3 linked regions of the Canis lupus familiaris genome follow. The protein of the gene in region 1 interacts with the protein of each later gene in a pairwise test. Links are inferred from orthologs where the notes say so. Each region holds a gene or a part of one and is shown in the gene's direction. Other genes may lie near its edges.

Region 1 (4,554 bases):
AAAGGAGGTAACCAGGCAGTGGAGATTTTGGAGGGAGGAGCAAAAGGTCACAGTAAAAATGTTATCCGCAACATTCTTTTTTCTGCAAACTGTCTTTGGTTAAGAACCAGAGAATCTGGGATCCCTGGGTGGCACAGTGGTTTCGTGCCTGTCTTTGGCCCAGGGCGCGATCCTGGAGACCCGGGATCGAATCCCACGTCGGGCTCCCGGTGCATGGAGCCTGCTTCTCCCTCTGCCTGTGTCTCTGCCTCTCTCTCTCTGTGTCTCTATGAATAAATAAATAAAAATCTTAAAAAAAAAAAAAAAAGAACCAGAGAATCTCTGAGTTTACTAGGGCAGAGGAAAGACAAAAGGCAGAGAAGCGAATTTGTCAAACCTAAGTGTATGGTTTTTTTTTTTTATGAAAAATAAGCTTTTCAACAAAATAAAGCTGTTCATTCAAAAAGGGTGGCCTTGTACGACGTGGCATTCCCCCATCGCTGTTTGTTTAAGTGGTATTATCTTGTTAGAAATGTAGTAAACGGTATTATACCCTTCACTGTGCAAATATTTATTAAAAGCTTACTCCGGACAAGATGCATGCAGAACAGGAAGAGGAATCAAAACTAGACTTGCTCTCTGCCAGCCTTCAAAGCAGTGCTTGACACTTTAATATGTATACACATTCCCCTGAGGATCTTGTTAAAATGCAGATTCTGATCCTGTAGGATAGAGCCTCAGATTCTACACTTCTAGCCAGCTCCCAGGTGATGGCAAAGCTGCTGGTCTGTGTCACACACATTGAGTGATAACGGTTTCCGCTAGGGAATCGGAAAAGCACATAATTATAACACAAAGAATGAATTAGTAAATACCATACACGTTCCATTAATCATCAGCAAAAACCTAGATCCGTTCCAACCCGAGGACAATCTCTGTCCTTTTCTGCTCTCACTGTTCCTTCTCTTCTTGTTGGTCTTCCTCAAATGGCATTTCTTTTGGGGTTGCTCGTTGCATTCGCGGTTTCTTAGCTCAGAATAGCTTTCTCCTCCTCTTCAGACCAGTTTCACGCATCTGTCAAGGTTTCTCGCCTAATTACTCCTTCCTCACTGGGGCCCCAGTCGAGGCTGCTCCCCACCGCAGCCAGCTGGAAGGTACCTCAAGCAGTCGCCACTACTTCCTTCTGATTCCAGGAGGAAATTCTGTTTCTAAATCCCTGGAGGAACCCACCTGTCCGGGTTGCCCAGAGAACGTTCTGTTTAACCTGAAGCCCGGTGAGGCGGGCGGCAAGGAGGCAGCGCCGCTTCTCCGGGTACGGAGCGCCTGAGGCCGGGAGGCGGCCCTGCGGTCCCTGGAGCCCGTCTGCTCCGGAAGGCCGGCCCGCGGCTGACCGCGCCAGGGTTTCTGGGTCGGGTGGGCGGAGCCCGCGCCCCGCCCCGCCCCGCCCAGCCCGAGGCCAACGCGGAGCGGGCGCCCCCGCCTGGCGCGAGAGGCTGCCCACCACCGAGGCGGCGGCGGCGGCGGCTAGAGAGGCCGCGAGCTCGGGAGCCGTCGCCGCGCGGCCGTAGGGAACGCGCGCGGGGCGGGCCTGGCGCCCCTGGCCTCGTAGCCATTTTAGGAGGAAACCCGGATCTCCAGCCCGGGGCGCGGCTTCAATTTCAATAACTTTATTGGTGGACGTAACCGCAGAACAGCCATCTCGCGAGTGGCTAGGGGAGGAGGAAGAGCATCGCGGGAGGTGACTGGGGTGGGGGCTCCCCCGGGCAGTGAACGCGGGGATGCGGGGAGTTCCCCGAAGCGGGTTTCCCCAGCGGCGGGCGTCGAGAGGCGGGTGGCGGGTGGCGGGTGGGGGGTGGGGGGCCGCGGGCGCTGCCGGAGGCCGAGGAAGGAGGGGACCCCGGGCACGGCTTCCCTGGGGCGGGGATTCCCTGGCCCGGGTCCCCAGGCGCAGGGGCGGAGCGGGGGGCGTCCCTGACGCGGCCGCCGGGTGTTAAAGCCCCGCGTGGTTCGCCCCGGCAGGTGGCCCCCGACTCGAGCTACAGCCATGGGAAACACCACCAGCGACCGGGTGGCTGGCGAGCGCCACGGCGCCAAGGCTTCTCGCGCCGAGGGCGCCGGCGGCCACGCGCCGGGCAAGGAGCACAAGATCATGGTGGGGAGTACGGACGACCCCAGCGTCTTCAGCCTGCCGGACCCCAAGGTGAGTCTCCCCGCGCGCGCCCCGGCGGCCCAGCCCCCCTCCCCTTCCGGGCTCCTCCTCATCCCACCGACCTACGTTACGGTTTTCTGAATTAAAGGGATGGGGCTGGGGAGGGGGGGGGGGGGGGGGGGACGGAGATGTTGGAGGGTAACTGACGCCTGCGGCGCTGCCTCGAAATACTATAGAGGCGGGGTTTCTGTCGTTCGCCTGACCTGCTGGCCATATTTTTACGATGGGGACTGTAGAGTCGTCCCCCCCCCCCCCCCACAACGCCACACACACACACACACCCATCCCCGGTTTTCCGAACAGGCAGGAGCCCTCTTGGAGAGTAGTGATGAGTTTATGGGTTGTAAACCCTATAGACCCTGGTAGAAAACTTCAAAGACGGTAGGTTGCCTGAGTGGCTGATCATCTGAGACAGTTTCTCAGGTTTACCCTGAGGTAGGCAAACGAATTTCTTTTTTTCTGATAACCTGTAGGTATCAGTATCATTTTTGCTCCTCTAAGAACCCAGCACTTCGGATCCTCTTCCCCTTTGGCAGGATTGTGAGCAGCAGCCACTTGCCTATTTGATACTTTCTCCTCGTCTTGGAGATCAGTACAGGACTTCCTTTGGCTGACTGCTCAGTTGTTCATCTCATCCTTTATATTGCGGTTGGCTGAGGTGCTTCCTTCTTCACACCCAGCTACTGGTCAACTGGGAGAGCAAACGATCCAGGATTTCTCCTCTTCCAGTAGGAATTCGTGATGTTACCATCGCTGAAAACGGACAACCCGCAGCTGCCGGGCAGGCAGACCTTGCTCTCAAATCCAAGGACTTCCAGAAAAGCGGCAACTTGTGCCCACCCGTAGATTAGATGGAGTTGACTGCAATGGGATTACCATCCGAATATTTCTAGTCCCATTTAGAGCTGTCAGCATGAAATAACAATAATCCCTCCAGGCAGTCCGAGTGGGAGGAAGTAGAAAAAATGGAGGGATTGAGGAGATTCAGGTGTGTTTGATGTTTTTTTTTTTTTTATCACTTCAAACCTTTCACCAAATTGGGGTTTTAGGGAGTAAAGAAATGATTTGCCCCATTGGTAGCACATGAAATTTGGATTCTGTTTATTTTCTTGAATCCCAGTTGAAAACATAACTACAGAAAAAGAAGTGAAGGTGGTTAAAAGCACCATCTTGGGGTTTCGTCTCCATTCCTTTCTTCCTTCTCCCACTTTAGAACTTCTTTCTCAGCATTTGGGCCATCTAGCCAGTCATTTTGAATTTCCTTAGAAGCTTTCTCAAGGTGATCCACCTCCTAATTTTACCCTTTTCCTATGTCAATGACTCAGGATTTAAGTACAGTGTATTTGTCAAACTCTGACTGCAATAATTGGTGTGCTGAATAAAAGCCAGGTTGCTCCATCTGAAATGGAGCCTATTTTGGTTCCTTCCTTCCCTAACCCCAGTCTTGCCATTTGTGAGTAAGAAAATTGGTTCAGATAATTCCTAAGGTCTCTTATACATGTAAAATTTTATAGTTCTCAATCTAGTCTCTTTACTTCTTCCTTCATTGTTTTACTTAAATATTTTCAAACTGTAGTTCTCATTGTTTTGCCTCTTTTCATAATGATTTTGCTGACAATTTAACTTGGAGTAAATGGTCTTTCTGCTAGTCAGCTGCACTCAGGCCTGCCACGGAAATGTCATGTCATATGTGGAAGGGCTTTCTTCCAAAGCCGGGCATGTTAATAGTTTGTAGCTTTCAAATTCGAAATTGAAAATACTAAATCATCAAAGTGACTCATAGAAACAGTGGCAGTGGGGTCAACATTGCTTCAAATGCCAGTCCTCTTCAGTGGACTAGGTCAGTGGTTCTCAACCCTGTTTGCACATTAGAATCACCTAAAATTTGTTTAAACACTGTATGGAAAATTAGAGACATTTTCCATGTTTCAAAGTAGTTAGAGTAGTATAGTAAACTCCTATATACCCATCACCCAGTTTAAACAATGATTAAATTTGAACAAATTTATGTCATGCCTATGCCAGTCCACTTCCCCCTACCAAATATTTTGAAACAAATTCCAGACATCCTATCAAATATTATTTTATCTGTAAATATTTTAGGATGTATCTGTAAAGTTGAGGTTTTTTCCTTTGTTTAACATAATCACAGTAATAATATTCTCTGTGAAGCTTTTTAAAAACAGGTTCCTAGGTCCCATATGTAAACCAGAATCTGAGTTATTCTTAGGCATATGTAAAAATTTTTGTAATTCTAATGCAGCCAGTCAGACAAAGGTGCATTCCTTTAGGAATATGGAGATCAAGGTTTTCACTTAAGTCACTTCCTTACATAAGGTGAGAAAGTCCCTTCAATTCTCTGTTTA
Region 2 (4,783 bases), on another chromosome or scaffold:
GCCATATCAACCTACACTGGGGATCAGGGAGAGAATCTTTGAGTCTGTTCCGGAGCCTCTGGCATGGAGGGACTAGGAAGGGCAGAACACACTGAAAGATGGGCATGGGTTAAGGCTTCCTCTCACCGGTTCTCTGGATTCCTCGTCTCTCCGTGGCTCTCTCGGACCATGCGCGCCACCTCAGGAAAACCCGCTTCTTCAGCCAGCTGAGCAGCATCCTTGCCACCCAGCTCACAGACACCCACCCAGGCAGCTCCACGGCCCAGGAGATAGCGCACAGCAGCCCCCTGGCCTGCTCGAGCAGCACACATCAGGGGGGTCCACCAGAAGGCATCCCGAGCATTGATATTGCCCCCCGCTCCCCCTGCCTCGTGGGGATCCAAGAGCCTTCTTAGTTCTGCTAGGTCACCCTCCTGGGCTGCCCTCAGTATCCAATGGGTCATCTTGTCCTCTGCCTCAAGGGATCTCCTTTGTCCATGTCCTGCTGAGGCTCCTACAGCAGCTTCCCCCATCATTCTTCTCTTCTTCCTCTTTCTTTTCCTGTCAGGTTCAGGCTGAGATCTCTGGGATGCAGGGATGCTGCTCTCTTCTGCAATCAGGGCCTCATAGAAAGCCCGGGCTGCAGCCCCATTCAGGGTGGGCTCCAGCTCTTCAGGCTGTGACTGCTGCTGCCCATCTTTCCAGAGGTCACTGGGGTTGGTGGCCGGGGTGAAGGTGATGAGGGAGGGCCTGGACATGGCTTTTGGGAGAACTGAGACAATGAGACTAATTAAAGGGCGTATGAGACAAGCAAGCCAATCCCTTGGTGGCTCTGCACTGACCAGAACCACCTCCACAGATCTGCTGGGATGAGGAAAAGTAGCCTTTTCCAAGTCAAAAACCCGTCTTATACTCTAAGTGACCCCACAACCTAGGACCCTACAGGGCCTAAGGACCATAGGTCATGTGGAAAAACAGGGAGCCATACAATAACAGCCCATATCCCTCGTAAAGGTTAACTTAACAAAGATTTAATGAGAATTGCCCAGAGGCCCATCCCTATCCTCACCAATAAGTAAAAACAGCTTCTCTCTCAAACTACTTGATCACCAGGTAAGACGTGCAGTTAAGAAAACAATCAGCCTAGCCCTTTAAATCTTCCTTGATCCTATGTCAGGGTAGGGTCTTTCCAAACAAAAACAGACTTTTAACCTTCTCCGGATGCAAGAAGAAGATTTGGGGGAGAAACTCCAGTCTCTGTGGAGACCCCACAGGGTCTCTGTACCACAAAAATTTTATCTAAGCAAAGGTGCTGCCAGTCCAATAGCCACACGACCCAGACACACATGTGTGACTGAAAAAAAAATCAACCACCACAAAGCAGAACTTGAGGGTGCGGGCGTGTGCGAAGCGCCAGGCTGAGCCTTCGCACGGTGGGACCCTCCAGGATGCCACGTGCCCAGGCAGCGCGAGGACAGAGGCTCTGTCGGTTGGGGTCCTACTTCTACATAACGCCCCACAATGCCCTTCGCCTCCCGGAACGTGGCCCCCCACTCCGAGCGCAGTTTTTGGACCTGCGAAACCACCGAGTTAAGGAGGGCTCTGAGAAGGCGGGAGGAAACCTGTGGAATGCCCCGAAGCCGTGAAGTGAAATAACGTCACGCCACCCCTCACCATTATTCTGAGCAGGGTTCGAAGGTCACACTTAGTGCCCGCAGCAGAAGGCCCCATTCAAGCTCTGAGAGGAGATGGAAAAGTGCAAGGGGACGAGCAGCAGAATGGCTGGCGCCACTTCAGGTTAGCGCACAGGCCGTCCCAATTCTCACACCGCTCACCTCAGCCCAGCCCACTCTTCCCACGTCCCGCAAGCAAGGAGCCCGGCCTCACCTCCCGCCTGAGGAGACTAGACCCCGGGGTGAAGCACCGGCCCGGGTGGGGCCTCCAGTGGCGGGCCTGACTCTGGCGAGAGGCTCCGCAGGCAACAAGGACCCGGTGGGGTAGTCGGGGACGAGGTCAGCACCCTGGGCTGCCGGCAAACACCTGGGGCAGAGCCTCGCTGTGTGAGGGGAGTTGCAGGAATCCAGCCCTCCAGCCCCGTTCCTTCCCCGCCCCCTCCCGGCCCCTCAGTTGCGCGACCCTACGACTCTATTTCCCATACTCCCTGGCCCAGAACGGGGTACTGCGCTTCCGCTTCCGGTGGTATCCCGCTGCTCCCCACCCCCGAGCGTCTTGTTCCTGGGCCTCGCGACGCCAGGGTCGTTCGTGGGTCATCCTGGGATTCGTAGTTCGCCTGTTCTTCGCTTCGCCAGTTTCTCTTTACCTGGGACTCCATTTCCCGGCGTTCACTGCGGCGCCCGACCCTTGGCGCTTGCGCGTTGCCCTCTCCCCACCCTCCCCAATTTCCACACACACCGCCCCCCGCCCCCCCCCCCTCGCTACTTCGCCTGCCGCGGTCGGGTCCGCGGCCTGCGCTGTAGCCGTCGCGGTTCTTTGGAAGCAGCAACTCCCCTCCCCCACCCCGGTCCCGGTCCCGGTCCCCGCCCAGCCGGTGAGTCTGAGGTCGTTGCCGCATCGAGTCTTCCGTCCTTAGGCGCGGCACATGGGGTCTCCGCGCGTTGGTGTGGGGGTGGGGAAGGAAGTGACCCGGTCCGGCACCGGGGGAGGGAGGGTTGGCCTGAGAGGCGGGGTGTGGGGACTCCTGTGAGAGGGACCCAGGGCCACCTCCAGGTCGTGAGGGGAAAGGGTCCTGGCTTTTGCTTGGAAAGGATAAACTTCGGAACCCTTGGGAAAGGTGTCGGGGACATGCGGAGACCTGCGGGGTAGGGATCTCGAGCCGAGAGCCCTGCGAGGGAGGGACTTGACGTAAAGAGGAGAGGGTGCTGGTTTTCGGGATTGTTAGGGGTGTGGGTAGGACGGGTGAGCCTAGACCTGTCGGTTTTTCAGAAGTGGTGGGACTCCAAAGAGCCTCTAGTGAATAAGAGGAATTGGAGGCAGGTGCGCCAGGGTCTAGGATCCTTTAAGAAAAGGGGGCTCCAAATTCTTCCATGGTCGGGGAGCAGAGTGTGGGGAGGAGGGAAGGTACCAGAGACAGGGTGGGGGAGCTTGGCCTTTGTTTACCCTCTTTTTTTTTTTTTTCCCAGCTGACGTGAAGATGAGCAGCTCAGAGGAGGTGTCTTGGATATCCTGGTTCTGTGGGCTCCGTGGCAATGAATTCTTTTGTGAAGTGAGTTCTCAATCTCCCAGCTATGTCCGCACAAAGTTTGGCTGTATGTTTTTCCACATATTTAGCTTCTACTTCTCTTACAGGCTGTCATAGAAACTTTTTCCTGTCAAGGAAGAGTCCCTTCAGTAACTCCCCTCACTAATTTGTGAAGTGGCAAGACTTGCCCATCCCAAGCCTGTTACTGTCCAGCGGTGTAATATTGGAAAAGTCAACTTTATTACTACTACTACTACTACTGTTATTCTTATTATTATTGCTAGGCTTGTACTAGTAGTGCTTAATTTGGGAGCCTATTAGGATTAAAATGCCGTTTATCAAAATGTTTTGTAACAGGCAAAGTTTTGTGCTAATGATATAATGGATTATAACTGCCCACAGGACCCAAGCTGTTTAGTCGCTGCTTTTCTTAGAGTTCTAGCTGCCGGTAAGGAGAGGACAAAACTGGTCTGTAGAGATGGGATCAAGAATAGGAACAGGGATTTTAAAAGGAGTGTCTCGTTAAGGAAGAGATTGTTGTAGCTGCTTATCCTTAGGAAAGAAAAGCCAGAGCTTTTATGGGAAGGCAGTGTATGTGAACTGGGGAGAGAGACTCAAGGATTTCTGCTGAGTTGGTGTGGGGAATTAGGGAAAACAGAAGCAGTTGTGTTGGAAACAAGGCACCAATTAGAGCAATGTGCCCAGATCAAAGCTGAGGATTCTGCTATGGGTTTCTTCTTGACTTCCACATCCTGACAGGTGGATGAAGACTACATCCAGGATAAATTCAATCTCACTGGACTCAATGAGCAGGTGCCTCACTATCGACAAGCTCTAGACATGATCTTGGACCTGGAGCCTGGTGAGGCATCCTCGGGGTTATCTTTGTGTGTGTGTGTGTGTGTGTGTGGTTTTTCTTTTTTCTCCCAAATTCCTGTTGATCTGCTTCTTGAATTTCTAAATTTCCTTTTGGTTCTCTGATTGCTTTTGTCCTAAGTTCTGTACTTTATTTTGCTCTCTCATCTGACTTTTGCCTGGATTTGTGACAGCCTCATTCTACACTCTGATCCTGTAACTTGGCTCTCTCCCTTAATGTTAGTTTCCTCATGGATCTCATTTCCTGCTTACCTGTCTTGCCTTGCACCTTTCAGTCTAGAGTTCCAGCTTCTATGTTGATCTTTTTCATTTATGTGTTGAGAGAGTTGGGAGGGAGAGAAGAGAGTAAAGGCTGAAGAGGTATAGAGAGAAGGCAGAGCTGCCTTGGGTGGGTGGGTGGAAGGGCCAGAGGCCCAGGTTTCTGGGTCAAATGCCCAGGTGATGGGTGGCGCAAAGATGAGTAGCCAGCAGCCCCTGGAGGTGGATGGGGCACCTAAGAAAGCTGTAAGACAAGTGATTGCAATTGGCTGCGGCCATGTTTCAGATGAAGAGCTGGAAGACAACCCCAACCAGAGCGACCTGATTGAGCAGGCAGCCGAGATGCTTTATGGATTGATCCACGCCCGCTATATCCTCACCAACCGTGGCATCGCCCAGATGGTGAGGCCTCTCTGCTCCCACTTGACTCCTCTGAGGTAGTAAGGGAAACAGGTTCTTGCAGCAAGGAGT
Region 3 (4,449 bases), on another chromosome or scaffold:
GCCACACACAATTCCCCAACCCTGCTACTCCCACACACAGAATGCCACCACCCCTGAATTGGGGTGTTTGTCATCTCCCCCAGCCACCCCTCTGCCCAAGCTCTTTGTTGAGCCTGTGGTGCTCTCCATCCACACTGTACCACCAAACACTGCCTGTCCCCCTAGCCTGGCACTGGGCTTTCTCTGGGCCTCTCCTCTTTCCTGGTGCATCTATCAACCATTTTTGGCCTGAGCCAAAATGGCCTTTTGGCACGGAGCAGCCTGGCTCTTGTTGCTGGCCAATCTGTTCTGTGTAGTACCTTTCTCTCCTCACCGGTTATTTCAATTCCTGGAAGGCAAGGCTGACTCTAACGAGGAAGCCACTTCCACTATGCTCCCACCCCCAGCCCAAGCCTCGTGTCAGGCACCCAACAGCTCCTCAAGCCCACTACGTTGTACTTGGCATTTAATCCCTGCCCAACGCTGCTCTTCCCATCTGGTTTCCTAATGCTCTTCCTAACACCCCCTGCTCAGGAGCTTTGCCAACCCCTGTCCACCTGCCAGTTAACATTCTCCCAGGTTCAGCTCCAAAAGGTGTCCTTAAAGGGGCGCCTGGGTGGTTCACTTGGTTGAGTATCTGCCGTTGGCTCAGGTCATGATCCTAGGGTCTAGGATCAAGCCCCAGTCCAGCTCCCTGCTCAGCAGGGAGTCTGCTTCTCCCTCTCCCTCCGCTCATGCTCGTTCTCTCAGATAAATAAATAAATAATTTTTAAAGTGCCCTTAAGGTAGAATTAAATCTTTTCCTCCCTGCCAAGAGCCAATCTTCCACCTCTGCCCTACACACATCCATTAATACCTGGCACACGATCTTGCACCTTAAATTAGATTGAACGTGAGCCTGTCTCATCTCTCTACCCACTCACACCCGGCCAGGAGCACCCTGAGGAAAGGGCCTGAGAGCTGTCTATCCTTGCCCTCACAACCCTCCCTTCGGGGCCTGGCTGCCCAGCATTTATTCTGAGTTCGTTGAATACAAAAGAAACAGGATGCACAGGTGTCCCTAACCCAGAAGCAGACATCCTGTAAACGCCCTGGAGTGCACCCCCTAAGGGGCAGCTCCCTTCGCCGGCCAACGCACTCCGGGGCCACACCACCTCGGGAAGACTCCGCCAGGCGCCCGCAGCCCGGCCGAGCCCGGCCAGGACGTCACATGATTCTCCAATCACATGATCCCATAAAACAGTGGAGGGGGGAGGGTGGGAAGCGAGAAGAAGGGAGGGACGACCGCGAATTGAGTAAGAAAAAAAAGCAGAGCTTTGCAGGCTGGCCCCGCCTCTACCGTCGAGCAGCAGCCAGTAGGAGCGCGACAGCCCGGACGCCTGGCCAATGGGAACGGAGGTGGGCGGGCCGTCGCGCCGCAGGCCCTAGTCCCGAGCTGCCCGGCCCGGCTTCGCAGCGAGCGCGGGGCCGGTCACAGGTAAGGAGGGTGGCCGCGCAGACCTCTCGCTTCCTCGGCAGTTCGGCCGGGCGGACGTGAGGGCTTGAGGCTCGTCTGGAGTTTCAGCCGGGAGGCAAGAGAAGACTGGCTCAGAGAAGCTCCTTTGGGGCTTTCCGATGCACAGGAGGCAGTTTTACGGGGGGCCGGGGGTAAGCAGTGATTGCAGTGACCCCCACGAGAAGGGGGCTCTCTCCCTCTCCAGCGGCTCCGGAAGCTGCAGCCCCTTCCCCAGAGCAGGGACCACCCCATTCTTGAGCCGGCTCCGGGCCGGTCCGGGTGCTGCTGCTGGTGCTGCTGGTGCTGCTGCTGGTGGTGCTGGGTGGTCCCCGGGGCACTGGGAGCGAGAGAGGCGCGCGCCCTGGTCCTGGAGCTCAGAGGGCTGCGAGTGGGCTGGTGGCCCTGCCCCCTCCAGGGTAGCAGGGCCGGGGGGGTGGTGACCGAACGCGGGGGTTGGGTCTGCCGCTCCCGTACTTCCTCTCGTGGGGGGTGGGACCAGCCAACTTCCGCCTCTCCCGGCCACTTTTCCTGCTCACTCGCAGTTGGGTTGGCTCACCTTTTGGGAATCTCTCTCCTGACGCTGGGAGTTGGGGGCTGCCACCTAGTGGAAGATGGCAGAGCTGGGGGCTTGGAGAGGCTCCTGTCCCTCTCTACCTTGGGAGTGGGGGGTGGCGGGAGAGAGGTCATCCTTGGTTGTGAGTGTGTGCGCGCGTCTGTGCATTGGTATCCACTAGAAGCACACGCTGTACTCCCTAACTTTAGGATGCCAAAGACTGCCCCGTGGTCCCAGATTTGTGCAGACAGGCACCTCTTCCGGCCTAAGCCAGGACAAGGGACAGCCTACGGAAGGTTGAGGTGTGACTCCCAAGAAGTAGGCGGGACGAGTCTTGCCTGGAGCTGTGAGTGTAGAGGAGAGGGTGAAAGGGGCCAAGGTATAGGACCAGCCAGGCGGTGTCCCCTGGAAACGGTCTCTGAGCTGGGACTGGGGCCGCGAAGAGAGCCAGGTGAGGGAGAGAAGGATGCAAGTGACTGGCTGGGTGTAAGTCGTCGCCACACCCAGTGTGCAGTGTCCACACAGACTCATGGGGGAACTGAGGCCCCAAGACAGCAACTTTTGAGGCTCTCACCATCAGTGGTGGCAATTCTAGGACTAGCACCCCAGTGCAGTATCCAGCACCCCTGTGCTTCTCATTTCTGTCCTGCCTTGTCCACCTGCTCAGAAAATGCTTCTGTCTCCCTCCTCTGCTTGGACCCCAGGCCTCTACTCTCCTGGGGTTCAGGGGTCCATTCCTGGGCACTGTGCATGGTGCCACCTGGTGACATGAACCCAAGTCTGGTATGCTTTGTAGCTCTCAAAGCCTGTCATCTCCATGACTGGATATATGACAAGGGCATGTTACCGAACTTCTCTGAGCCTCAAAGTAAAGGTAATTAGTACTTTGGATGGCTGTTGCAAAAAAGAAAGAAAATAGGATAGAGTATTGTAACTGGCCCGGGAAAGGCTCAACAAACTTTTTTTTTTTTAAGATGTTATTTATTTATTTATTTATGAGACACAGAGAGAGGCAGAAACACAGGCAGAGGGAGAAGCAGGCTCCTTGCAGGGAGCCTGATGCGGGACTCGATCCCCAGACCCTAGGATCACACCCTGAGACAAAAGCAGACACTCAACTTCTGAGCCAACCAGGCATCCTGAAGCTCAATAGACATTACTAGTCTTGCCCCTCCAGGCAGGGTAACATCTTCTGGGCCCATCCCATTGAACTAGTAGGGCTGGCTGAGCTTGGAATACTCATTTAGGAAGTCAGAGGTTACTCCCCAGAGACTCATGATTGGTTTCTTCTGCTAGTGCAGCTGTGTGAGTGCATGTGATCTTCTTCCTGTACTGCTGAGTTTCAGCTTCCGGGTAGGGGGTCGGCAGGGTTTGGGGGTGGTATGTTTGGGGAGTCTTAAAGGGCCTGGTGGTGTTGGGGGAGCCCAAGGGCACAGGTGTCTCAAAGGCTGGCCCGGCCTGTGCACCCCTTCCCTGGGTGGTTGGGGACAGCTGGGGGGGTAGGTATGGCTGGCCTCTGGGGTAGGCAGCCCAGATTCCACGGGCTACCACACTTCCCTTTTTTTTTTTTTTAATTTATGATAGTTACACAGAGAGAGAGAGAGGCAGAGACACAGGCAGAGGGAGAAGCAGGCTCCACGCACCGGGAGCCTGACGTGGGATTCGATCCCGGGTCTCCAGGATCGCTCCCTGGGCCAAAGGCAGGCGCTAAACCACTGCGCCACCCAGGGATCCCCACACTTCCCTTTTCATAACTTTCTCAACACCCTGGTTTCCCACGTCATCATGTGACACCCCTCCCCCACCCCACACAGGGAGGCTTCTGGAGGGGCTGGCTGGGGAAGTGGAACCCCAGCTTTTCTTCAAAGGGGGACTCCCTCTTTGCCCCCCAGCCCAGTCCTCCCATGGCCACTGATGCCTCACCCACTCCCTGGAGGTGCCCCATGTCCCTACAGATCAGACCCACAAACCCCACAAATTTTCCTTTCACAGACTTACATCTTTTTTTTTAAGATTTTTTTTTTTTTAAAGTATTCTCTGCACCTAGCATGGGGCTCAAATCTACAACGTCAAGATCAAGAGTCACATGCCTTGTTGACTAAGCCAGACTGGTGCTCTCATACGCCTACATCTTTACACACTCACCCACAGATGGAGACATTTGGCCACATTTTGGGGACACAGATCGACACACATACTTGGTTGTTTTTATCTTTTTTTAATAAAACAATATTTTATTAATTTATTTGACAGAGAGAGCACAAGCAGTGAGAGTGGCAGGCAGAGGGAGAGGGAGAAACAGGCTCCCCACTGAGCAGGGAGCTTGACACCAGGCTCCATCCCAGGAGCTTGGGATCATGACCTGAGCTGAAGGTAGACATTTAACCAAGTGAGCCACCCAGGCGCCCCTGACATGCATCCT

The links. The genes of interacting proteins can lie anywhere in the genome.
Region 2: the proteins of PRKAB2 (region 1) and CSNK2B interact in a two-hybrid assay, tested with the Homo sapiens proteins (2 studies listed by BioGRID and IntAct). The link is inferred for Canis lupus familiaris from reciprocal best matches to the Homo sapiens genes PRKAB2 and CSNK2B.
Region 3: the proteins of PRKAB2 (region 1) and GRN interact in binary tests that used the Homo sapiens proteins (3 or more experiments, as listed by UniProt). The link is inferred for Canis lupus familiaris from reciprocal best matches to the Homo sapiens genes PRKAB2 and GRN.

Annotation. Positions count from the first base shown.
Region 1 is NC_049238.1:58,294,429-58,298,982, reverse strand, and holds the start of PRKAB2 (5'-AMP-activated protein kinase subunit beta-2), read left to right. Parts: upstream 1-1,550; 5' UTR 1,551-1,717; intron 1,718-1,722; exon of another isoform or gene 1,723-1,806; intron 1,807-1,998; 5' UTR 1,999-2,023; coding exon 2,024-2,179; intron 2,180-4,554. UniProt on the Homo sapiens protein: Non-catalytic subunit of AMP-activated protein kinase (AMPK), an energy sensor protein kinase that plays a key role in regulating cellular energy metabolism.
Region 2 is NC_049233.1:1,286,481-1,291,263, forward strand, and holds the start of CSNK2B (casein kinase II subunit beta), read left to right. Parts: upstream 1-1,637; 5' UTR 1,638-1,727; coding exon 1,728-1,776; exon of another isoform or gene 1,777-1,855; intron 1,856-1,866; exon of another isoform or gene 1,867-2,274; intron 2,275-2,374; exon of another isoform or gene 2,375-2,527; intron 2,528-2,650; exon of another isoform or gene 2,651-2,798; intron 2,799-3,119; coding exon 3,120-3,202; intron 3,203-3,937; coding exon 3,938-4,040; intron 4,041-4,598; coding exon 4,599-4,714; intron 4,715-4,783. Other genes in the region: GPANK1 (G patch domain and ankyrin repeat-containing protein 1), read right to left, coding at 127-737. UniProt on the Homo sapiens protein: Regulatory subunit of casein kinase II/CK2.
Region 3 is NC_049230.1:18,957,145-18,961,593, reverse strand, and holds the start of GRN (progranulin), read left to right. Parts: upstream 1-1,303; 5' UTR 1,304-1,456; exon of another isoform or gene 1,457-1,626; intron 1,627-4,449. UniProt on the Homo sapiens protein: Secreted protein that acts as a key regulator of lysosomal function and as a growth factor involved in inflammation, wound healing and cell proliferation. Regulates protein trafficking to lysosomes, and also the activity of lysosomal enzymes.